Neurospora crassa OR74A: one gene and its partners. The protein of the gene in region 1 interacts with the protein of each later gene in a pairwise test. Links are inferred from orthologs where the notes say so. Each region holds a gene or a part of one and is shown on either strand. Other genes may lie near its edges. The genes, in order: NCU07011, NCU00301, NCU06272 and NCU03051.

What was found.
Region 2: the proteins of NCU07011 (region 1) and NCU00301 interact in binary tests that used the Saccharomyces cerevisiae proteins (3 or more experiments, as listed by UniProt). The link is inferred for Neurospora crassa OR74A from reciprocal best matches to the Saccharomyces cerevisiae genes UTP21 and SAS10.
Region 3: the proteins of NCU07011 (region 1) and NCU06272 interact in binary tests that used the Saccharomyces cerevisiae proteins (3 or more experiments, as listed by UniProt). The link is inferred for Neurospora crassa OR74A from reciprocal best matches to the Saccharomyces cerevisiae genes UTP21 and RRP5.
Region 4: the proteins of NCU07011 (region 1) and NCU03051 interact in binary tests that used the Saccharomyces cerevisiae proteins (3 or more experiments, as listed by UniProt). The link is inferred for Neurospora crassa OR74A from reciprocal best matches to the Saccharomyces cerevisiae genes UTP21 and DIP2.

The regions. Positions count from the first base shown.
Region 1 is NC_026504.1:4,897,749-4,903,746, forward strand, and holds NCU07011 (WD repeat containing protein 36), read left to right. Parts: upstream 1-2,062; 5' UTR 2,063-2,126; coding exon 2,127-2,264; intron 2,265-2,326; coding exon 2,327-5,027; intron 5,028-5,152; coding exon 5,153-5,505; 3' UTR 5,506-5,863; downstream 5,864-5,998. Other genes in the region: NCU07010 (cortical actin cytoskeleton protein asp1), read right to left, coding at 1-293. UniProt on the Saccharomyces cerevisiae protein: Involved in nucleolar processing of pre-18S ribosomal RNA and ribosome assembly.
Region 2 is NC_026503.1:3,361,333-3,367,458, reverse strand, and holds NCU00301 (Sas10/Utp3 family protein), read left to right. Parts: upstream 1-2,003; 5' UTR 2,004-2,152; coding exon 2,153-3,547; intron 3,548-3,605; coding exon 3,606-4,094; 3' UTR 4,095-4,298; downstream 4,299-6,126. Other genes in the region: NCU00302 (3-ketodihydrosphingosine reductase tsc-10), read right to left, coding at 316-1,248, 1,319-1,474; gpr-5 (PQ loop repeat protein), read left to right, coding at 5,584-5,642, 5,705-6,126. UniProt on the Saccharomyces cerevisiae protein: Primarily required at the G2/M phase. Essential for viability: involved in nucleolar processing of pre-18S ribosomal RNA as part of the ribosomal small subunit (SSU) processome.
Region 3 is NC_026503.1:2,144,283-2,150,439, forward strand, and holds the start of NCU06272 (mito ribosomal protein S16), read left to right. Parts: upstream 1-2,524; 5' UTR 2,525-2,686; coding exon 2,687-3,145; intron 3,146-3,203; coding exon 3,204-6,157. Other genes in the region: NCU06271 (hypothetical protein), read right to left, coding at 1-1,196, 1,271-1,558.
Region 4 is NC_026501.1:8,275,139-8,281,063, reverse strand, and holds NCU03051 (WD domain-containing protein), read left to right. Parts: upstream 1-2,164; 5' UTR 2,165-2,278; coding exon 2,279-2,295; intron 2,296-2,364; coding exon 2,365-5,242; 3' UTR 5,243-5,588; downstream 5,589-5,925. Other genes in the region: NCU03052 (hypothetical protein), read right to left, coding at 5,879-5,925. UniProt on the Saccharomyces cerevisiae protein: Involved in nucleolar processing of pre-18S ribosomal RNA.

The DNA of each region.
Region 1 (5,998 bases):
GAAGAGGCGAGACTGTGTCGTCGTTTGGATTTTCCGGTACTTGTGATGCCGCTGTCACTGGTGATGGGGATGGCGCCAGGGACTGCGATGCTCGACGACGGTGTGCCTGCCATGTCTTCGGCTTCTTCTACAGGCACGTCCAAGCCGCCGGTTGCTGCTTCTGATGTCGCGACAGGAGTGTCTGGGTCTTGGTCCGGATGAGTGGAAGAGGAAGCTTCGGAGGCGGAGGACGGCACGCTGTCGGCGGACACTGGCGTACGATCGAGGGAGGTGGGTTCGAGGTGTGCTTCCATGGCTCCTGCGGGAAGCTGCAGGTGTGCAGCCTATGGATTTATATATCGTCGGCGATAGCAGTGGCAGTGGTGATGATCGGCTAGACTATTGTGATGCCGCCCAATGGACTCGATGTTGGGCGTCGCTTGGATTGGGAGAAAACGGGGAACTGCACTTCTTATTTGGTGGATGTCTAGACTAGACTGGACAGCTCCTCAAAGCAAATAAAGGATAAAAGAAAAAGGAAAGAAGATAGAGGTTAGAGCGATTGGGCCCCAATGGCTTTCAAGGTCCCAACTGAACTAAGCAATTGATAACCGCAAGTGTTTCGACGACGGGAGATGGGGATGTCAATCTGTCTTTGATCCTTTTCTTCTTCCCTTTTCCCCCTCCCTCTAGCTCCAGATGGATGTTTCAGTTGTCATCCAAGCACAGCTCATAAGAACAACATGTAATCATCAAGAAAGCCATTGGTACACAACTGGACAAAGGTGGATAGCTTTGTGGCGACACGAGCAGAGACAACAGCTAGGTAGGTAGCCCAAGTTGGGATGATGCCCAAGCGTTGTTTGCGCGGGGAGGGAGAAAGGAAAAAAAAAAAAAAAAAAAAAAAAAAAAAAAAAAAAAAAAAAAGAAAGAAAGCAAGAGGGAAAGGCGGCATGTGGGCAATTTCCATAAACGGACCCGGTAGTACCTACTAGTCCCAATTCTGAACGTCTACGTGTAAGTGCATCTGGATCCCACCATTAGTTCATTCCCTTACACCGGAGTTTTGGTAGCTCATGGCAGAAAGGCTGGCACTTTCTCGGGTACTACATGGCCATCAACCGAATGAATGGTCGTTAGAATACACTTTTCATGCTACCTTTGGAAACTAGACTAACTCTCAGGCAATTTTGCATGGAGAAATTCCCAGGTAACTCTGGCTGATGTCTTTTCGACTTTTTTTTTTACCATCCCTCTCGAAATTCTGTGATGGCCTTTCCTGACTAAAGCGAGCCGTGTTGGACTGTCTAATTCGGTTATATTTACAGCCACTTCGTCGTCATAACTGGAGGTCCAGTCTCTTTCGTCATTGGCGTGCTTGGATAGACACAGGAAAAAAAAAACCTCTCTAGTGATCGACAATGATGGACACCAAAGAGCCCATTGCGCGTTGACTACTGGTACCAGAAGGTGGGTGTCATGCCAAACTAAACCCTTGCTGGCGCCCTATGATATACTGCGATAGCCGCAGAGAAAATCCAGAAGAACGCTGAAGGTGGGTGTCATTGCGAACCGTATGCCGTGGTACCTCTATGGGTGGACGACCTGAGGTGGGTTCGATGGACGGGATGATGACGCCGCAGGCAACCTAGCATTTCGACGCTGAAGCGGACAGGGGATGGTGATGCTGTGCTGTGCTGTGCTGTGCTGTGTTTCACAAGCAAGAGCTTTTTCGCCCAGTTGGCGGGGCAGATGGAGGTGTGGGGTTTACTGCAGTTTGGAACACAGTCTCGACTTCTGCGATGATGGGAAACGGTAATCCCGGTAACTGAAAGGCTGCAAAATGCGGCCGGGATCGCAGGAGGTTCCTACTATGCAGTACACAGATACACAGTGCTGGATTTAAGCTCTGTGGGTCCTAGCCAGACGGTGGTCCCACATGCGTCCAGCTTTCATGCTACCCCACATGGCGAGGCAGACCAATCACATGAAGCTCCCACTTGCCTGCCCCAACCGACCCCAAACTGTGGCTGAAAATTTCTGGTCCACCGCGACAAGGCTACTATTATCGAAATCTTCAAACTGCGACTTTCAACAAGGCTTTGCAACTGAAAGGCATTCGCAGACATCGTGGTAGTTGGCAGCATATGCCACTCGACGACATGATGCCGCATTCCGATCGCGAAATCACATCCGCCAAGCGGCAGAAGCTCAATGCCTCTGTCGTCAAGTCCAAGGCGCCTCAGAAGAAGAAGAAGGGTTCCTCCATCTTTGCTCCCTTCAGAGTACGTCCCTAATAGCCGGTCGCATGAAGTCCTCAAACTAACACCAAACTCACCACTCATAGACTGTAGGCTTGGTATCTCCAACAAGCGTCCCCTTTACCTCCATCCCTCTCGGCAAGACCACCTTCCAGATCACTACCTCGGTCGGCCGCTCCCTCCAGACCTATGACCTAAAGAGAGGTCTCAATCTCGTCTTCGTTACCCGCCCCCAGACTCCCGCCGACATTACCGCCACATATGCTTGGAAGGAAAAGGTATTCGCCGCTTGGGGTAACCCTCAAAATGGCGAGGCCCAAGGTATCTGGGTTTATCAGCGCGGAAAGAAGGTAGCCGAGCTTGAGCTGCCCGCCGACCTCAACCAGCCCATCAAGCAGATCCTCATCTTCGGTTCCTGGATTGTTGCATGCGCCCAAACCCGCCTCGAAGTATGGAAGTCGGCCACCCTCGAACACTACACGACCATCTTTTCCGTTGCCGCAAAGAAGGGCGACAACGAGCTCACTGGTGGCGTAGTCAACATGCCTACCTTCCTCAACAAGATCTTGGTCGGTCGCAAGGACGGTTGGGTAGAGATCTGGAACGTCAGCACCGGCAAGCTCATCTACACCATCCTTCCGCCCTCTCCCGACGCTGGATCTGTCACCTGTATGGAGCCTACCCCGGCACTTTCGCTTCTCGCCATCGCCTACTCGAACGGCCCTCTCGTCATCCACAACGTCCTTACCGACAAGGCCTCCCTCAAGTTGATGGCCGGATCCGAACACGCCCCCGTTACAAGCATCTCCTTCCGAACCGACGGTCAGGGTGCTGGTCAAGATGGTACAAAAGATGGCGTCATGGCTACCGCCACAAGCATTGGTGGAGATGTCACATTCTGGGATCTCAACAAGGGCGGCAGAGTGATGGGTGTACTCCGGAGCGCCCATAATCCCCCATCACACACCGACAAGACTGTGCGCGGAGGCATCAGCAAGGTTGAGTTCCTCCCAGGACAGCCCGTTATCATGACCAGTGGTTTGGACAACTCGCTCAAGTCCTGGATCTTCGACGAATCGCCCTTCTCGCCCGTCCCCCGTATCCTTCACATGCGCAGCGGCCATGCCGCCCCCGTCAACTGCCTGCAATTCTTGCCAACCGATTTCGATGGCGCCGAGGCCGGCAACAAGTGGCTTCTCAGTGGTGGCAAGGACAGGAGTCTGTGGGGCTGGAGTTTGCGCCGCGATGGCCAGAGCTCTGAGCTCAGTCAGGGTGCTCTTCGCAAAAAGGCCAAGAAGGTGGGTATTCTTGCTAATACCGCCCTCGGCGGCCACGGCCCGACTACATCTTTGGACGACCTCAAGGCTCCCGAAATCACATGCATCGCCTCCTCGCTCAACCGCGATGGCGGCATGGGCGCTATGCCCGGTAGGCAGGTCATCTGGGACAAGGGCAATGACAAGAGCAAGCCGACCAAGTCCGAGCTCGCTGCTATGACCGGCTGGGAAAGCGTAGTAACAGCTCATAAGAACGACCCCTGGGCTCGCACCTGGTTCTGGGGCCGCAAGCGTGCTGGTAGGTGGGCGTTCAAGACCGGAGATGGCGAAAATGTTTCTACCGTGGCTATCAGCCCTTGCGGCAGTTTCGCTCTTGTTGGCTCCGTTGGTGGTAGCTTAGACATGTTCAACCTCCAATCCGGCCGTCACAAGCAACGCTTCCCCTCCCGACTCACTCCCGCCCAGATGCGCCAGTTGAAGATGCAGCAACTTAAGGCTCTCGACAAGGTGAGCCAGCTCGAGAAGCGCGCCTCCTCCAAGACCTCCTTTGCCCCCGGCTCGGGCAAGCACACCAAGTCCGTAACCGGCATCGTGGTCGACCCGCTAAACCGCTTCGTGATTTCCTGCTCTCTCGACGGCACCGTCAAGTTCTGGGACTTTGTCACGGGCAACCTAGTCGACGAGATTGACTGGGCGCCCATGGTGCAGATCACGGGCTGTCGCTACCACGCCGGCAACGATCTCATCGCTTTCGCGTGCGACGACAATTCGATCCGCGTTGTCGACATCGAGACCAAGCAGACCATCAGAGAGTTCTGGGGCTGCCGCGACACCATTAACGACTTCACCTTCTCCAACGACGGCCGGTGGATCGTGGCCGCCTCGCAGGACCGCGTCGTCCGCGTCTGGGACCTGCCGACGGCTCACCTCATCGACGCCTTCCGGCTCGAGAAACCCTGCACCGCCATCGCCTTTTCCAACACGGGCGAATACCTCGCCGGCGCCACCGAGGGCGAGCTGGGCGTGCACATCTGGACCAACAGAACGCTGTTCAGACACGTGCCGACCAGACAAATATCCGAGAAAGACATTGCCGAAATCTCGGCCGGACCTACCAGCTCAGGCGAGGGCGGTCAAGGTCTCATCGAGGCGGCCTTTGAGGATGAACAGGAGGACGAAGAAGATGAGGGCGTGTCTGCGCCGGTCCTCGATCAGCTCAGCGCCGACATGGTGACGCTCAGTCTGGTGCCCAAAAGCAGGTGGCAGACGCTGCTGCACATTGACCTGATCAAGCAGCGCAACAAGCCCAAGGAGCCGCCCAAGGCGCCTGAGAAGGCGCCCTTCTTTTTGCCTTCGCTCCGGGATGGGACGACGAACCCACTGCTGTTGACGGAGGGCGAAAAGAAGGATGAGGAGGAGAGCCGAATTTCGAAATTGACGCAACTCGAGACGACAAGGACGTATCAGACGTTTACGGCAAAGTTGTTGGAGGGTGCCGAGACGGGTGATTGTAAGGTTTTTTTTTTTTTTTTTTTTTTTTTTTTTTTTTTTTTTTTTTTTTTTTTTTTTTTCCCTTTCTTTTATTACTTCCCTTTTTTCATCCGGTTTATTTTACTAACCATCACCGTTTGATAGACACCCCCTTCATCACCCACCTCAAATCCCTCTCCCCCTCCACCGCCGATCTCGAACTCCGCTCCCTTTCCATCGGCGGCCTTGATCCGGAGTCTTCTGAAGATAGCAACGAACTCCTCCACTTCATCCGCGCCATGACGCAACGCCTCGCCCAACGCCGCGACTACGAGCTCACGCAAGCGTGGATGACGGTCTTTTTGCGACTGCACTTTGACGTGATTATGGAGAGCGAGACGCTGCTGAAGGAGTTGGGCAAGTGGAAGGAGCAGCAGGAAAGGGAAAAGAAGCGGTTGGATGATTTGGTGGGCTACTGTGGTGGTGTGGTTGGGTTCTTGAGGAGTCCTAGGACATAACCATAGACATGGGTCCAGCTTAGTCTAGATGAGGGATGGGAAAGGAGGGAAGGAAAAGGGAAGGGAAAGGGAAAGGGGAAGGGAAAGGGAAGGCTTGCATGATGGCTACCTATGAGCGAGTGAGTAGCTGTAAAAGTCGGTTGGGATTGTGGAACATATGATATGAGCGAATCCGATCTATTTTTGATAGTATTTACATTATGGGTCTTTTTTTTTTTTTTTTTTTCTTTTAAACAACTAGCCCATGTTTATCTCTTATTTGCTAGGATGGATGGATGGATGGCTGGATGAATGGGAAAAATTGGGATAGATAAAAAGTGTTATCGACGTATACCTAACCAATACCAGTACATCTATCTCTCTTGTCATGTCACGTCAACTGAATCTACTATGGTACTTCCTAACTTCCTCGTCTGAATTTGTAAAACGGTTCGGTTCCCTATGAAAGGTATGGTACCTAGATAAACGCATTGCGCGATTAGAATTGTTATGT
Region 2 (6,126 bases), on another chromosome or scaffold:
CACTCACCAAGTGGTGCTCCAAACATCTTGACGTCGGAATATACACTTATTGCTGGACAACACAAGCAGGGTATAAAGTCGTTGTCACCCAACTAAGCATGGATTGCTCATTCTTGGTGTCAAAACGCATCCGGATCGCGGTGAAGACGTAGTGCTTTGACTTCAAGGTGAGTGTCTCACAAAGGAGACGGGGGACTTGTCCAGGTTGTCTTGAGGCTGATATCGGTCTATTACAACAACAAAGTTATTACAGTATTTTTATGTTCATAGATATCATATACACATCCATACAAAAGAACAGATCCAACCATCGCATCACTTCTTCTTGGGATGCGTAAAAGGATGCCCCTTTTCCCTCGCCCACTTCACAATCGTTGAGTTCATCCCCCTCAACACGAAGAAGTAGATGATCGGTATGAGCCACCCCATCAACGTGTCCAGCACCCAGTTGTTCCTCGGCGACCCGCCCATGATCCCGCACTGCATCAGCCTTCCCAGGAATGACACATCGACAAAATACTTGCCAGCCTCCAGCCCGGCAATCGCCCTCCTTGCTACCGTATCCGGGCTTTCCGCTGGCTCGTCCTTTTCCAGCTCCACCGTGATGTCCGGCTTCGTCTGATTTTCCCTCTCGTAGCCCGGTGATACAATCGTGCCGGGATACACAATGTGCACCTTGACCGGGTTATCTGGGTAGTAATTGACCTCCATCGCCAGGGTATCCGCCAGTCCTCTCAGCGCCCATTTGGTTGGGGTGTACGGGCCATAGCCCAAAATCGCAAAAAGCGCCAACATTGACGCGGTAAATACCAAGTGCTTCGGCTCTCCGTTGGGTCCCGTGCTGTTTTCGGGTGCCAGCCACTCCCTCAAAATCGCCCGCGACATCTCCGCCGACCCAAAGTAGTTGACGTCCATGTTGCGGCGTGCGGCCGCCATGCTGCCATCGTCGGTCCACAGCAGAGGCGTCGACATGCCGGCCACGCACCAGACGATGTCCGGGGAGCGCCCGCCATTCCAGGCGATAGCTTCGGCGAGGACCGCGGCGGCGTAGTCGTGCTCGGAAACGTCGGCTGAGATGTAAGTGAAGCGTTGTGTGGACGGGTTCTTGGCGGCGGCGCGGACGTCGACGAGGGCTTCTTCAAGGCGCCCGACGTTGCGCGAGACGAGGATGACATTGGCGCCCTTTTGCGAAAGTTGGATGGCCGCTGAGCGGCCCATGCCTTCGGAGGCGCCGGTTAGGAGGACGGTCTGGTAACAGGGGTTGAGTTAGTGTTGTTTGGAGGTCGGGTCAGGTCGGGTGAGGCTTCGGGGCGCATACCCGGCCCTCGACTGGCATGTGGTTTTTGGAGCTGAAGAGACCCATTGTAGCAAATATGCCAATGGCCGCGACGACGGCTGCAACTGGGAGAGACCAGGAGGTGCTGAGGGTTTTCAATTGTTCCATCAGCGACTCTGAGAAGAGATAATGGTTCATCCTTCCTTGGATCGTGAAAGAAGATCGGGCTCGAGGAAAGTGGAATTGTTGACGCGGCGGCGCCTAAGCTATTCTGTATACGTCTAGAGTACGAACGAGTACCTCTACGGCGTAAATTTAGTGGATGCTGTCAGCAGTTCCCGTCGTACTGGAGCTTACACCCCTGTCTGTAAGTGACTTGTTGATGGGTGATGATTCGACCGATTTCTTCGCACTCCGTAGGAAAATGAGGTTTCTGGAACCATTTGCTGGAGTTTGCGTTTTCGAGTCTTCAGAAGCGGTTTTCTCTACTGTCATAACTGAACCCATTGAGGTCATGTCAACGTAAATCTGGCAGGCCTGGGGGGCATCTTGGAGCTTCCCGTCGACCCTGAGGACGGGATGGAAGCTTTGACCATTTCAGATGTAACTGTGGAGCATCTTCAATTGTGGGGTTAGGCAGCCTGCATGAGAGTGGAGCTGGGCGGTCGAGGTTCCGCTGAGAATGGATCGCAAATTGACAAGAGCAAAAAAATTCTGCCGCTTCAACATTTGTTGCCCGCCTAGCGAACGAACCCACCAGCCCATTCAACGAGCATCTCCAAGTGCCTTTTGGCAGCGTCTTCACGTCAACGTTTCTCAGTCGCGCCAAACTCCATCCAACACGCCTGAATAGATAACCGCGACACAAACGCAAAAATGGCGAAGAAGAGAAAAGCCCCGAGACCGACCGGTCCCGCCGAGCCTCGCGAGGTCGATGCCAAGGACGCCCGCCTTACCGTTAAGACTTACAAAGATGTCGCCAACTCCGAAGACGAATACTGGGAGAACCAGGATCGCATCGACTTTGACGACAGCGATGATGGCAGACAATCCAAGCGCAGGCGCCAAGACAAGGAGGAGGAGTTCCTAGAGGCTTCTGACGAGGAGGTTTTCGAGGAGGACGAATCCGATGAGGAGAGCGAACACGAAGACGCCGCGCCCGCGAAGGGCAAGAAGGTCAAGACAACAGTACTTTCCGACGAAGAGATGGGTGGTGAAGAGGAGGAAGAAGGTGACGAAGGATGGTGGGGTTCCTCCAGAAAGGACTACTACAATGCCGACCAGATCGAGACCGAGGCCGATGCCTTGGAGGAAGAGGCTGAGGCAAAGAGGCTCCAGGCCAAGAAGTTGGCCAAAATGTCCGAGGCCGATTTCGCGTTTGACGAGAGCGAATGGCTAGGAACCAAGGAGGAGGCCGAGGGAGAGGAGGATGTCATTACCGAGAAACTCAACGAGATCGAAGTCACAGAGGACATGGGGCCGGAAGAAAGATACAAGCTTCTACAGAGCCGATATCCCGAGTTTGACTACCTGGCGCAGGAGTTTAGGGAGCTGCAGCCGATTCTCACAACTCTTCAAAAAGAGGCCGAGGGCAAGCCTGCCAAGTCTCTGGAGATGGTCAAGTTCTGGACTCTTGGGTGTTACATCGCTTCACTCGCCAGTTATTTCGCTATCCTGACTTCGCCAGCAAGAGACAGCCAAGGTGTGTCCAAGACGATCAGCCCTACGGAACTCAGGGACCACGAGGTTATGGGCACGTTAATGAGCTGTCGCGAGGCCTGGCTTAAGGTCAAGGAACTCAAGCCGCTCAAGAGCGTCTCCTCGACCAGCGGCATGCTTTCGCCACCCGAAGATGAGGGCGAGTATGATGACCTGTCTGACGACGATATGGAGGACTTCAAGAAGATGCTCAAGAAGAGCAAGCGCGAATCCAAGGCTGAGCTCAAGGCCAAGGCGAAGAAGGAGGCCGAGAAGGCCAAGAAGGCCAGGGCTGTCGAGCAGTCTCTTGCCGATCTCTCCAGTTTGCTTGAAACCACCAAGACGGCAACCAAGGCCAGCAAGAAGTCTGTCAAGGTCGACAAGCGCGATGACGATGAGCGCTCCGACTTTGGTGACGAGGAGATCCTTGAAGCTCACGTGGCCAAGGAGAAGGCTGCTCGCAAGAAGAGTCTCAAATTCTACACCTCCCAGATTGTGTCCAAGTCCGCCAAGCGTGCGGATGCGGGTCGCAACGCCGGTGGTGATGACGATCTTCCCTACCGTGAGAGATTTGTAAGTCGGCCATTGCCTAAAAAACATGCCGTGTTGTCATATACTGACTTTTGCGCAGAGAGACAGGCAAGCACGGCTCAACGCCGAGGCCGAGAAGCGCGGCAAGAAAGACAGCAAGCACGGCGCCGTGCTGGGCGAGGGCGACAGCGACGACGAGGACAAGGCCGTTGCCAAGCAGGTGCGCGGAGAGGAGGACGAGTACTACGACATGGTGGCGCACAACGCGGCCAAGAAGAAGGAGGACAAGGCGGCCAAGTACGAGGCTTTGGCGGCTGCCAAGGGCGCCCGGGTCGTGGAGGAGACGACGATCGGCCCCGACGGCAAGCGCCAAATCAACTACCAGATCCAGAAGAACAAGGGCCTCACGCCGCATCGCAAGAAGGAGAACCGCAACCCGCGTGTCAAGAAGAGGATGAAGTACGCGGAGAAGCAGAAGAAGCTCAAGAGCGTCAAGGCCGTGTACAAGGGCGGCGAGGGCAAGGGCGGGTACCAGGGAGAACTGTCGGGTATCAAGACCGGCTTGGTCAAGAGTATCAAGCTTTCTTGATAGGGCTCTGGTTGTCGTGGTTGTTGGACTGGTTTGTAGTACTCTGGGTATATCATGCATGTATAGATTTTTGGGTTGTTGATAATCATGGCCTCAACGGAAATGGAAAAAAGCAGGCTTGCACACACAATGGCATTGTATTTCTTGAACACACTTGATACCTCTTCAAGATCTACAATATCTACAATGTCCAGTATTCTCAACACCGGAGGTCGCCGGTACTCGCACCCTGTTCAATCGTGTTAGTACAGGTTCATGGTAAACCCCGGGTCTGAGAATAGGGCTATATAAGAATCCCTCTCATTTTTTTTCTTTTTCTTTTCCATCCCAATTTTTAGTTCCTCTTCGTTTCTGTGCCCTTCCCTGGCATTTCTTGTGTGCCAGATTCCGAAAGAGCGAAGGCGATGTTGACTTGGAAAGGATACAAGGCCTGCGAGGGAGCCAATAGGAGCTCTGAGACGAATCAATGCAAATGCCCAAATCTCAACTTTGGATAAATGTAACACCACCACATGATAAATTATTAGATTGGGCAGTTTCTGAACAAACACAACATCCTAAACCGAACACTTCAATTTCGTTATCTTCAGTACAGGTATCTTCAACACGGATCGTTCAAGAAGTAGAGGTAATTTTTGGGATGAAACACTGGAATGTTAGAGCAATGATTAGGACATGCCACATTATTTTTTTCCAGTCCACCATGACTTCTTAAACCCACCAGGCAAAAGGAAGAGTTCCAAACCAACAGTCTGTTTTCGGTCTATCCAGAAACCCAGGTTTCCCTCGAAGGGTTCTCATGCTGTTGTTGGATGTTGTTGTACTAGGGTTTCACCTAGCGGTTGACGTACCCCACAAGATCCACCTACAGCCCGGGACGCTTGAGCCGCCTGAGACGTGCATGCTTTTAAGGGCTCTTTTGCCGCCGCCGAGGATGCATTACACGTATCTTGCAGCCAGGCGGGTCAACCTTGGGTCTTGGGGGAACCGGTTTGCGGATGAAGAGGCAAAGGATTTAAAACTAGTCATGCGACCATCAGACTTTTCACCATGTATGACTCGAATCGGATTGTAATCAGGTCGACTCTTTCCTTTGTTCAGCCTTTTTTGTTGACTTTGCATTTTGCATCGTTATCTTGAGCCTCACTTCAGTGTGTACTCTGTAACTCTTTGACCGACCGCTCATGAATCCTCAGGGCGGCTCTCAATTGAAGTGACGTATCTCCTGTCTACCAAACCCACAAAACAAGGACACAACAACAAAGAGCGAGGTGAACTGGGCATCCAAGTTCCAACGAATCTTGGGGGCAAACAACTCAATCGATAAGGCGGGAGAGTAAAGCGCATCAACAAAAACGCTTTCATTCAACCATCGCATCCTTCCTCACGCTTAAACCCACAAGTATTCTCAACCTGTACCTATCAAGAGACGGTTGCACAAAACAGTGAGACAGCATTACACGCGGTCCTACGGACAACAGCAGCCACCATGGCGCCCCCGACCGAACTCCTCAACCTCGACGTCGAGGCCATATCGGGGATCCTCGGGTAGGTCTCATTCCACTCCCAATTAACTTCACCTTCTCCATCTTACTAAACCCTCTCAACAGCTCCGTATCAATAGCATGCTGGGTCGTCGTCTTCTCCCCGCAAATCATCGAAAACTTCCGCCGCTCATCCGCCGACGGGCTCTCCATCCAATTCATCATCATCTGGCTAACGGGCGATGTCTTCAACATCTTGGGGGCCGTATTGCAAGGGGTCCTGCCGACCATGCTCATCTTGGCCATTTATTACACCATTGCCGACGTGGTGCTTTTGGCGCAATGTTTCTATTACCGGGGATTTACCTGGCGGGATGAAGTGGTCCCCACCATTGCCATTGACTCCGACGACAGTGAAGCTGCTTCAGAGCGTGATATGGGGAGTAGACGCGGAAAGAACAAGGGTAAGGGGAGGGTTGATGGTAGTCGGGGGACGTCGAGCGATGAAGGAAGAAGAAGGGTAGGAGAAGATTTGGAATCGGGACCGG
Region 3 (6,157 bases), on another chromosome or scaffold:
GGTGTATTGGGGCGGGAAATGGGTTCGTCAACCATGGATTGCGGTCTTGCCCGTTTCCCTTTATTCGACGAACTTTCTTTCAATGAAGGTGTGGCTGCCCTCGGTTGGTCATCTTTCTTCACCGACTTCAGCGATGGCTCCTTGGATGGCTCTGTCTCAGGCTCGGTCACGTTGGCGTTCTTCGGCTGCGACTCTGAACTTTCCCCCACCACAGCCAGCTGGCCAGTTTCCTCTTTCTGTCCATCTTTCGTGTGGGAATTCGACCCTGAATCACGGTACCAGAACGCCCAGGTAGAACCTGATTTTGGTTGTTGTGCTGGGGCCGGCTTAGCTGCCTCTACTGCAGGCGCATCCTCCATCTCAACGTCCTCGGAATCCTTTGATGGCGGGCTTGTTGCTCCCTCCTGTGGCTCCCCCGTTGACAATGCTGAATCCGTCTGTTTTGTTTCTGTCGTGCCACTCCCTGGCCAAAACCCAAACAGATAACTCCCATAGCTATAAGTCGGCTTTTCTTGGGGTGCAGTCTGTAACGTAGGCTCCTGAGCGTCCGGGGCCTTTGGCGGATCTCCGTCTGATGGCATATTGTTTGAGGATTCCTCGGTTAATTTGGGGGGTTCGGGTACTTCAGGTTCGCCCCCGTTGGGCCTGGGTTCGCTAAGCTTTGGCAGAACCGGGACGGAGGCAGTCAACACTGGATAATAATAGTACGCAGATTGGCCTAGCCACCCTAGCCAGCTGGAGGAAGCTGTTTCTCCCGACTGTGGTTCGGTGGTAGTAGACTGTGAATCCGCAGGCTGGTGTATACCATTAGTGTCTGATGTCGGTTGTTGTTGTTGTTGTTGTTGTTGGGTGTCTGGTGATGGGCGATCCTCGGCTTCATTGCTGCCAGTGGTACTAACAGCAACCTGGTCGGTCTTGGCAACGTTATCGTCCACTGCCGGCCCCGGCTTTGGTACCTCACCGCCTGTGGATCCCCTATCATCAAGGTTCTCGGATGGTAACATGTTTGGAAGAGACGAAGATGAAGCTGCACCATCGAGACTGACACTATCCGTGCTTCTTTCTGTGTCAAAACGGCTAAAGTCTGCTCGCTTTTTTGATCTGAGTGTTCCGCCCATGATTGTTTCACGGGCGACTTGTGTCGAGGGTGTCGATTTGCGTGGCCATGAGCCATACCAACTCCGAGATTTCTGGGGCTGCGAGTCTGTTAGCATCGGGTGTAACAGGCATTAAACAGGCTGGATATGGTGGCTGAAGAGAAATAGGCTACCTCTTTCAGCCCTCGCTTGCTCGAAATAGGAGTTGTATTTGCGGTCGCATTGGGCTGGGATGTTGATAGAGCATTATCAGGTGTCGAGGTCGTCGTCGACGAAGGTGGGTTCGAAGCGGTCGGCATTGGAACGGCTTTTGAACGCCATATAGAGGCTGCTAGGCTCGAGGACGATTTCGGCGGCATATCGGATGTGGACGTTGAGGACTCGGTGACAGCACTACCATCCGCCGGCTCGGTTGGAGGGTTTGGTTTCGCCTTTTTTCGACGACCCATGGTGAAGACCATGGCGAGCAAGGCCAACAACCTAACAGATTCCAGTCCCCTAAGATTATAGGGCAAACTTTGGCCACATTGCCGTTTATTTCGTCAAGTTGAAAGGATCGAAAATGGGCATGCGACGAGTATTGCGTGGCGCCTATACCGTAGGGACAAGTCGACAAGCCGACGAGGCACCGCTCAGGCTACAAATCCGATGTGTACTTCTACTTACACTACACGGGTACCGCCGGCGGGGAGGGAGCGCTTTCATCCATTATCAAAGGCTCCAGCTCGGATGCATGTACGTCATTTGCCAGGTAGCGCACAGTCCAGGGGAACCGGATAGGTAACGAAGTACCTACACTTTATTACCTGGAGAGGGGGACCATGTGAACGAATGCTGATGTTATTACAAGTACCTACTTGATGGTCTAGTGTAGTATCAAATTCATTCTTCCATCAGACTAGAATGATATTCCAATACCGTACGATCCTAACATCAGACGACATGTTAAGTGTAGGTAGGTACCTCTAGACAATTGTACATCCCGCCTTGGAGAATTATATGTACCTCGCAATGGCCAATAGGTAACTCATTGATAGCACGTTCTCAGCAATCCCCTCTATCTCTAGGGTGTAGGTACCTAACGGCCTTCAGTACCCTACCTCTACTTACCGTGTACTTCCCTGCAACGCATGCGGCTGGCCCGTTGGCTGCCCGTCTCCGCCCGTGCAAAAGGTTCGGTACGTACCTGGCCATGAACGTGACAGCGTCCTGTCAGCTGACGCCGTGGCACTCGTGGACACAAGACAGGCGCTGCTAGTACCCCTACAGGGGAACCCCGCAAGACTCAGAACCCGCAACGAACCGACATGCACGCGGCCCGCGTACCTAGAGATGGCAGAATCGTAGCCGATGCTCACCGCATTCCTTATCGTTATCTGGCCACGGTGAACGGCGACGGACCCACCAAAAATTTTCGGCAGCGGACAGTGGAAGCGGCCTGGGTCAGTTTTTGTCAGTGCTTGTCGATTCATTCTGAAGTGTGAAGGCGGGCAAAGGGACGAGGGATCCAGTGCGGGTATCTCTCCAATTGCAACTCCAAACACATCCGTCCATCCATCAGGTCCTTTCTTTATACCCATCAGTTCACAATGGGTGCGCAAAAGCGCAAGGAAGGCCCGGGCGGCGCCCCAGTCAACAAATCAACACAATCAGCCTCCGAATCGAGACCGTCAAAGAGACCAAAGTCCAACGATGCCGGCAGCAAGGCGGGCGCAAAGACGGGCAAGCAGGGCAACAAGCCGGCTCCCAAGTCCGACAAGCCTGCTCCTCCTGCTCCTACCGCCCCGGCTACATCTACGCTGCTCAAGGAAGAGGAGCCAATGTTCCCCAGAGGCGGCGCCAGCATCCTGACACCTCTCGAATACAAGCAAATCCAAGTCCAGGCCAAGAACGACGCCCTGTTCGAGGAGCAATCCAGCAAGGCCACCGCCAAGAAGGCTGGTGAGAAGGAGGGCAAGCAGAAGAAGTCCAAGAAGAGGTCAAAGTCCGACGACACACCCGCGAAGCCCGATGCGGACGCCGTCAAGGTTGAAAGTCTCAACTTCAAGGTATGCGCCGGAACACTCATGGGTTCAGTCCTATCATCCAAGTACTAACTGTCCGCAGCGTCTGGTAAAGGGCTCCTTGGTCCTTGGTTCCGTCTGCGCCATCAACTCTCTCGACATCGCCGTTGCTCTACCCAACAATATTATCGGCCATGTCCCCATCACTGCGATTTCCGCCCCCCTAACAAAACGCTTGGAGGCCAGCGCCGGTAACGACAATGCCGAAGAGTCAGAAGACGAGAACGACAACGACGTTGACCTCGAATCCCTCTTCCAGATCGGCCAGTATGTCCGCGCCTACGTTGTATCGACGGTCGACGAGGCTTCTACACACACCCCTGGAAAGGCCAAGCGCCATATCGAACTCTCCCTTCAACCTTCTCTCGCCAACACCGGTATGGCGGAGCAAGACGTTGTTGTGAACAGCACAGTTATGGCCGCCATTGCCAGTGTGGAGGACCACGGTTATGTTATGGACATCGAGATCGCCGATTCGAAGTTGCAAGGTTTCCTTGCTCGCAAGCAGGTCGACAAGAGCATCCCCCAGGAGGCTCTGCAGCCAGGTGCCGTCCTCCTCTGTATCGTCACCAAGAACGCCAAGGGCAAGGTCGTTCAGTTGTCCACATTGGGTGAAACCATGGGCAACGTCGAGAACGTCCCTTCGACTGCTACCACCATCGACACATTCCTCCCCGGTACTGCCGCCGACGTGCTCGTGTCCGAGGTTTCCAGCCACGGAATTGTTGGCAAGATTATGGGATCGCTGGATGTCACCGCTGATCTGGTTCACTCTGGCGCTGGTCCGGATGGCATCGATCTTGAAGACACATACAAGGTCGGCTCTCGTCTGAAGGCCAGAGTCATCTGCAACTTCCCTACTGCAAAGCACCCCAAGCTGGGTATCTCTGTACTAAAACACGTTACCTCGTTGAAGCCAAAGACTGCTTCCAAGGACGACCAACCAGTGGTGCCATTGCAGGCTCTCCCTCACTCGACGATCGTGGAGAAGTGCACCGTTAAGCAGGTCGAGCCTGAGATCGGTCTTTACGTCGATGTTGGTGTCGAGGGCGTGTCTGGGTTTGTGCACATCTCCCGCGTCAAGGATGGCAAGGTTGATGCCCTCTTCGAGAACAGCGGACCCTATAAGGTGGGATCTGTTCACGCTGGTAGGGTTGTCGGCTACAACGCCTTTGATGGCATGTATCTCATTTCCTTGGAGAAGAGTGTTCTTGAGCAGCCATTCCTTCGCATCGAGGACATTCCTGTCGGTGCAGTTGTTTCTGGTGTGGTTGAAAAGATGGTGGTCAACGCCGCCGGTGTTGGTGGCCTTATTGTCAAGATTGCTGACGGTATCTCTGGCTTGGTCCCCGAGATGCACTTCGCTGACGTTCACCTTCAGAACCCCGAGAAGAAGTTCAGGGAAGGCCTGAAGGTGAAGGCGCGTGTGCTCTCGACTGACGCTGCCTCTCGCCAGATCCGCCTTACTCTCAAGAAGACGCTCGTCAATTCCGATCTTCCTGCCATCCAATCGTATGAGCAAATTGCTGTTGGCCAACAGGCGCTCGGTACCATCATCAACGTCTTGCAGCACGGTGCGATTGTGCAGTTCTACGGCAGGCTCCGTGGTTTCTTGCCAGTTTCTGAGATGAGCGAGGCCTACATTCAGGATCCCAAGGAGCACTTCCGCGTTGGCCAGACTGTCAGCATCTACGTCATCAGCTTCGACCCCGATGCCGCCAAGCTTATTGTTTCTTGCAAGGACCCATCTGCCTTTGGTCTTGAGAAGCAGTTGGCCCTCAAGAAGCTTCAGATCGGTGATGTGGTGTCGGCTAAGGTCACGCAGAAAACTGACGACGATGTTTTTGTTGAGCTTGCCGATAGCTCTCTCAAGGCCATCCTCCCCGTCGCTCACTTGACGGACAAGTCGGTCAGCAAGACTCAGTCTGCCCTCAAGAAAATTCACGTCAACCAGACTCTTGCCGAGTTGGTGATCTTGGAAAAGAACGAGGCTCGCCGTTCCATCATTCTCTCCCAGAAGCCCAGCCTTGTCAAGGCTAGCAAGGAAGGCAAGTTCCTTACTACCCTTGATGGTGCTCGCGTCGGAGATGAGGTTTCTGGTTATATTCGCAACATCACTGCTACGGCTGTCTTCGTCCAGTTCGGTGGCAAGTTGACCGCCTTGCTTCCCAAGTCTATGATTCCTCGCGAGGATCAGGACAAACCCGACTTTGGCATGTTCAAGTCTCAGTCTGTTACTGTCAAGATCACTTCGGTTAACACCGAGCTTAATCGCCTGGTTGTTGCTATCCCCGGTGCTGCGGAGCAGGTTAAGAAGGTCGAGACCAAGGGCGAGAAGGTCGCTAACCCCGTGGATGAATCCATTACCACTTTGGATGATATTTCCATTGGCAAGCTGACCAAGGCTCGCATTGTGTCCGTTAAGGACACCCAGCTCAACGTTCAGCTCGCTGATAACATTCAGGGTCGTATTGATGTTTCTCAGGTGTACGACAGCTGGGAGCAGATCAAGGATACCAAGAAGCCGTTGAAGAGATTCCAGCCCAATCAGGTCGTCCCTGTCCGCGTGCTGGGCGTCCATGACGCTCGCAACCACCGCTTCCTGCCCATTTCCCACCGATCCAGCCACTCCGTCCTCGAACTGTCCGCGAAGCCCAGCGATGTCAAGGAGGGCGCCTCTTCCGAGCCGCTGTCTTTCGACAACCTCAAGGTTGGTTCTAGCTACGTGGGCTTCGTCAACAATGTTGGCCAAGGCCACCTTTGGGTCAACCTTTCCCCCACTGTTCGCGGCAGAGTTAATGCGATGGAGGCCTCTGACGATGTCTCTTTATTGACCAACCTTGCGAAGAACTTCCCTATTGGCTCGGCCCTCCGCGTCCGCGTCGTCTCTGTGGATGCCGAATCCAAGCGCCTCGATCTCTCTGCCAGATCTCCTGGTTCCGAGGACGAGTTGACTTGGGACAAGATCGCACAGGATGTCATCCTTGTCGGCAAGAT
Region 4 (5,925 bases), on another chromosome or scaffold:
ATAAATTAATTATTTTTTTTTATAGTAGCTTTAATATTCTATATATTAAGCTCCCTCCTATTTAGAATATAATTAACTATACTAACTCCTAATATATTTAATTCGCTTAAGGATTTTAAAGTATACTAAATATAAACCGGGGCAACCTACTAAATAGACGGAAAGAACTCTAATTTAATACTAAATCAATAATAACTATACTTTTTCTATATAATAGAATACAAATAAACTTCTTCTCCTAATAATTATAAGCAATACTAACGTAATAGAAATATAAATTATAAGCTACTTAATTAATAATAAATAAGTAAAAGTAATAATAATAAAGGAAGTTTAAGAGGAAATAGAAATTTTAAAGGAAATTTAGGAAGAAATAGAAATTTAGGAGGAAATTTCCTATAATAAAAGTAAATAGAAGTTCTAAATCGCTTCCACTACCCACTACCTAACACCTATTCCATTCCGTCTACCCTACTATTACTAAAGCCCTTAGCGCTACTACCCTCCAACTATATAAATATTTAAAATAATTACGTAATATAATAATTAACTATAAAATATCCCTACTTAACTCCGAATAGAGACCTAAATAGAAGCTAGAGTCGTTAGTAGTTTTTTTATTATAATACTAAGGGGTATTATAAATAGAACCGACGAATACTATTTTAACTTTCTTTATTTAAAAGTAAAATTAATAGTAGCGTACTCCGTATATACAATCTAATTAATATATAAATTTCCACTTCCGTAGGGGACCTTAATATATATACTATAAGAAATATAGGTAGCGACCCCCAACTCCCACTATATATCTACAATATACTAACGTTATTATAAATAATTACTATTATAATATATAGATTTAAATTATTACACACCTTATCGTAGGGTTTCTATAAATTAAAGCGTAATATATTAGTAATACTAGTACTAATAACTACCAATAATCTAAGATCCTAATACAAATTCGGGGTACTATATAAAGGGGCTTAAAAAAAAGCAGGTGTAAAATAAATACCCGGGCTACGTATTTCTTTATACTACTAAACGCTAGCTACTAGGAATAGAAAATAGGAATAAATATTTAATATTTTTACAATAATAGTAAATAAGGGAATTGCCCTAAACTACTTTAAGGGTAAGGCACAAAGTATACTACCTAAAAATACCTATAGCAACGGAATTAAGATAGTAAATAAATACTAACAGCAACCCCAAAGTAGTAAATTATAAATAAATATTAAATAAATATTACAATAATTTCAAATAATATAATAATACTCATATAATATTTAATTATACCATTCAACTTCCAATCGTATATCAATTAATAATTATTATATTACATATACAATAGTAAAAGTTTAATAAAATAAATTAATATATATATAGTAGGATATTTATAAAAGAAAAAAGAATAAATTTAAAATATAAATTGAACCTTCAAAAATAATTCTTATACGAGTTTATTTTGTATTGTAAATAGATAGTTTAACTAATTATTACTTCGGAGATAAAATAAAATATTAAAGATGAAGTACCTTCGATAATTGAACATTCTATTATATAGAAGTTTCTATTATATACGCGAACCACTTTTTAACGAAAATTCCTATTGTACGCACTACTTTTTATTCTATATAAAATACTATTACTATTTAAGTATACCGTTCTAGCGGGTCAGCTATCCAAACGCAAATAGACCAACTACCGAAACGCATTAATTACAATCCACAATTGTTCAACCAAACATACAATTATCGAAAAGGGGCTTATACAAGCGGATTCGTTCTATAACGCTTTTGCACTGTCAACACCACTGCCTGCACCCTGTTCTGGCCCTGTTGTCAGACCCCCTATTCCCAGCAGGGGGTCAGGTCCTCGCTTCAGGCTGGCTGACGTTGCTGGCTCCAGGCTGAAGTACTTTGGCTCCACTCTGGCGCCGGAAGACACGCCGCCAAGCCTGGAAACTGCCCCGCAGAACCCGTCCAGGCCGTGATACGATGCGGCGGCGGGACCGGGCCACTTTCAGACAGGGGCCGGGCCAGCCACAGCGGACAGTGGCCGTCTGGGCAGGCAGTGGCTGGTGGAAATGGACGCGGCAAAAGTTCTTATCTTATCACTTGCCGGACTGGCAACGCCAAAAAAAAGTTCAGGGACGGCAACCCACTGCGCAGCGGCGACACGATTGTGCTAGTGGACATTGAATCGCGAGAGACCTTGCGCATGTTATTTTGGATTGGCATCTTGTACTAGTGGCTGTCCAATTATCGCAAATATGGTCAAATCATACCTGTAAGCCTTGCGATTCTGTCCTACTTTTCTCTCGCCTGATGGCATCTCTAATACACCTGGGAACAACAGCAAATTCGAGCCCTCCAAGTCCTTCGGTGTCGTCGCAACCAGCTCCTCGAATCTCGTCTGGACCTCCTCCAAAGACAAATCTGGCACCGGTGCGGGCCAGGCTATCGTCGCCGCCAACAATGAGGTTCTAACTTGGGATATCAAGAAGGGCGAGCTTCTCAACCGCTGGAAGGACGAGAACTGCAAGGCCCAGGTCACTGCCATCGCCCAGAGCAAGACCGATCCCGACGTATTCGCTGTCGGCTACGAAGACGGCAGCATCAGGCTGTGGGATAGCAAGATCTCCACCACCATTGTCAGCTTCAATGGACACAAGTCGGCAATCACGATACTGGCCTTCGACAAGTCGGGAGTGCGCCTGGCCAGTGGCGCAAAGGATACCGATGTGATCGTTTGGGATTTGGTCGCCGAAGTCGGCCAGTACAAGCTACGAGGACACAAGGATCAGATCACAGGACTGCGATTCATCGAGCCCGAGCCGCAAATACCCGAAGGCGGCGACGACGAAGAGCAGGCTATGGTGCTGGACAACGAAGCGACAGAAGGTTTCCTCTTGACGACCGGCAAGGATGCGCTCATCAAGCTTTGGGATCTTTCATCACGGCATTGTATCGAGACCCATGTGGCACAGAACAGCGGCGAGTGCTGGGCGCTTGGTGTTTCTCCCGACCTTAGTGGATGCGTCACAGCTGGCAACGACGGCGAGATGAGGGTATGGGCTTTGGATGTAGCAGGACTCGCTTCGTCAGCACGCAAGGTCGATCTCTCGCAAGCAATCAACTTCCTCCACGATCGCGGCACACTACACCGTTCGAGCAAAGAAAGGGCCGTCGAGGTCATCTTCCACCCCCGTCGCGACTATTTTGCAGTACATGGCGTCGAGAAGTCTGTCGAGATTTGGAGGATACGAAACGAAGCCGAAATCAAGAAGAGCTTGGCGAGGAAGCGGAGAAGAAGAAGAGAGCTGGCTGCGAAGAAGGGCAAGAAGGAAGCAGACGCGGAAGAGGAAGACGACAAGGCCGATGATATTTCAAAAGCAGACATCTCCGACGTCTTCGTGCAGCATGTTATCGTGCGGACAACAGGCAAGGTTCGGTCGGTCGCTTGGGCCCTCAGTCAAGGAACCAAGGATCTCCAGCTCCTTGTTGGAGGCACAAACAACCTGCTCGAGACATATACCATTGTTGGAAAGGATAAGCTCAAGTCCAAGGGTGATGCGCCAGACTACAACAAGGCGCTTGCGGTGGAGCTTCCCGGACACCGAACAGACATTCGTGCCCTCTCCATCAGCTCAGACGACAAGATGTTGGCTTCGGCAGCAAACGGCTCCCTCAAGATCTGGAACATCAAGACCAACACATGCATCCGGACATTCGAGTGTGGCTACGCGCTCTGCTGTTCCTTCTTGCCTGGCGACAAGGTGGTCGTGGTCGGAACCAAGGAGGGCGAGCTTCAGCTTTACGATGTTGCTTCGGCATCTCTGTTAGAGAGCGTCAACGCTCACGAGGGCCATGCCATCTGGTCACTACAGGTTCACCCAGACGGCAAGTCCGTTGTTTCTGGCGGTGCTGACAAGACAGCCAAGTTCTGGGACTTCAAGATCGTTCAGGAACAGGTTCTAGGCACGTCAAGGACAACCCCCAAGCTCAAGCTTGTCCAGTCCAAGATTCTCAAGGTATCAGACGATATCCTGAGTCTCAGGTTCTCCCCCGACGCGAAGTTGCTTGCTGTTGCCCTTCTCGACAGCACTGTCAAGGTCTTCTTCGTCGACTCTTTAAAGCTTTACCTCAACCTTTACGGTCACAAGCTGCCCGTTCTCAGCATGGACATCTCCTACGACAACAAGCTCATTGTCACAAGTTCCGCCGACAAGAACATCAGAATCTGGGGTCTCGATTTCGGTGACTGCCACAAGGCTCTCTTCGGTCACCAGGACTCCATCCTCCAAGTTGCTTTTGTTCCTCACAACTCGGACGGCAACGGCCACCATTTCTTCAGTGCCAGCAAGGACCGCACCATCAAGTACTGGGATGCCGACAAGTTCGAGCAGATTCAGAGGATCGACGGCCACCACGGCGAGATCTGGGCCATTGCCGTTGCTCACAGCGGCCAATTCCTCATCAGCGCTAGTCATGACAAGAGTATCCGCGTATGGGAGGAGACGGACGAGCAGATCTTCCTCGAAGAAGAGCGCGAGAAAGAGATTGAGGAGCTGTACGAGAGTACGCTCACCACCTCGCTCGAGCAAGACCCCGACGCCGAGGACGAGAACCGCGAAGTCGGCGCTGCGTCCAAGCAGACGGTTGAGACGCTCATGGCGGGTGAGCGCATTGCCGAGGCGCTCGAACTCGGCATGGCCGACCTCAACGCTATCAAGGAGTGGGAGGAGGCCAAGCAGCAGAACCCCAACGTGGCGCCGCCGCAGCGCAACGTGCTTTTCATGGCGCTCGGCAACATCAGCGCCGAGCAGCATGTCATGAACGTGCTGCAGAAGATCAAGGCGTCGGCGCTGCATGATGCTCTGCTCGTTTTGCCATTCGCCACCGTCCCCATGCTCTTCACCTTCCTCAACATCTTTGCCATGCGCTCCATGAACATCCCGCTTACTTGTAGAATTCTGTTCTTCATGCTCAAGACCCACCACAAGCAGATCGTGGCGAGCAAGACGATGCGCGCCATGTTGGATGGCATTCGCACCAACTTGCGTGGTGCACTCAAGCGCCAGAAGGATGAGATGGGGTACAATGTTGCGGCGCTCAAGGTCGTAGGCATGCAGTTGCAGCATAAGAGCGTGAAGGATTATGTTGATGAGAAGTGGGAAGAGGAGAACGAGGAGAACAAGGCAGTTAAAAAGCGTGCTTTCGTGCAGGTTTCTTGAGCGTCGGATGGTTGGGGTTGGCGAAGGAAACAAACGCCAGCATGATACATGGGAGTGACCTACAGGTGGAGGAAGGGTAGTGTAGGTGGAAAGAGTAGAAGGGATCTGGAAGAGAACAAATCCGTTCCGCACATAACACAACATACATATGATGTCTGACGTAGAGGAGAAAGGGGTGAACGGTGTTGATACCGTTTCTCTTTCGTAAGGTAAAATAGGGCAACGTTTCTCTTTTTTTTGGAGTTGGGGTCTAGTTAAAACGGCATTGCATAGTATTCGTTACCCTTATCTCCAAATTGCTCTGTCTTGAATCTCCCCCATCAAATTCTCCATCTTAACTTCCGGAAGGGAAACGCGTGATGTCTTGATCAGTTCGTCTTCGTGGTGCCGCAATCTATCGTCCACCGTCCACTATCATTGTCTTTTTCCATCCTTCGTCGTCTTGTATTCCCCCTTTTCCCTCATGTTCCCCAATTCCCCAATTTCCCCTCACACCTGTCCCACCTTCACTCCCTCTCATCTTCCCATCCGATCCCCAAACCTCTACTACCTTAACCTCGTTCAGCCGCCTCTCGCTCCCTCGGCCCCAAGTCCCCCCCCCTCCCTCTCCCCTAATCACACTTGTCGAGTTGCCTCTCACATAACACAACACCGAACCTCAACCCCCGGGTCCCCTCCACTGG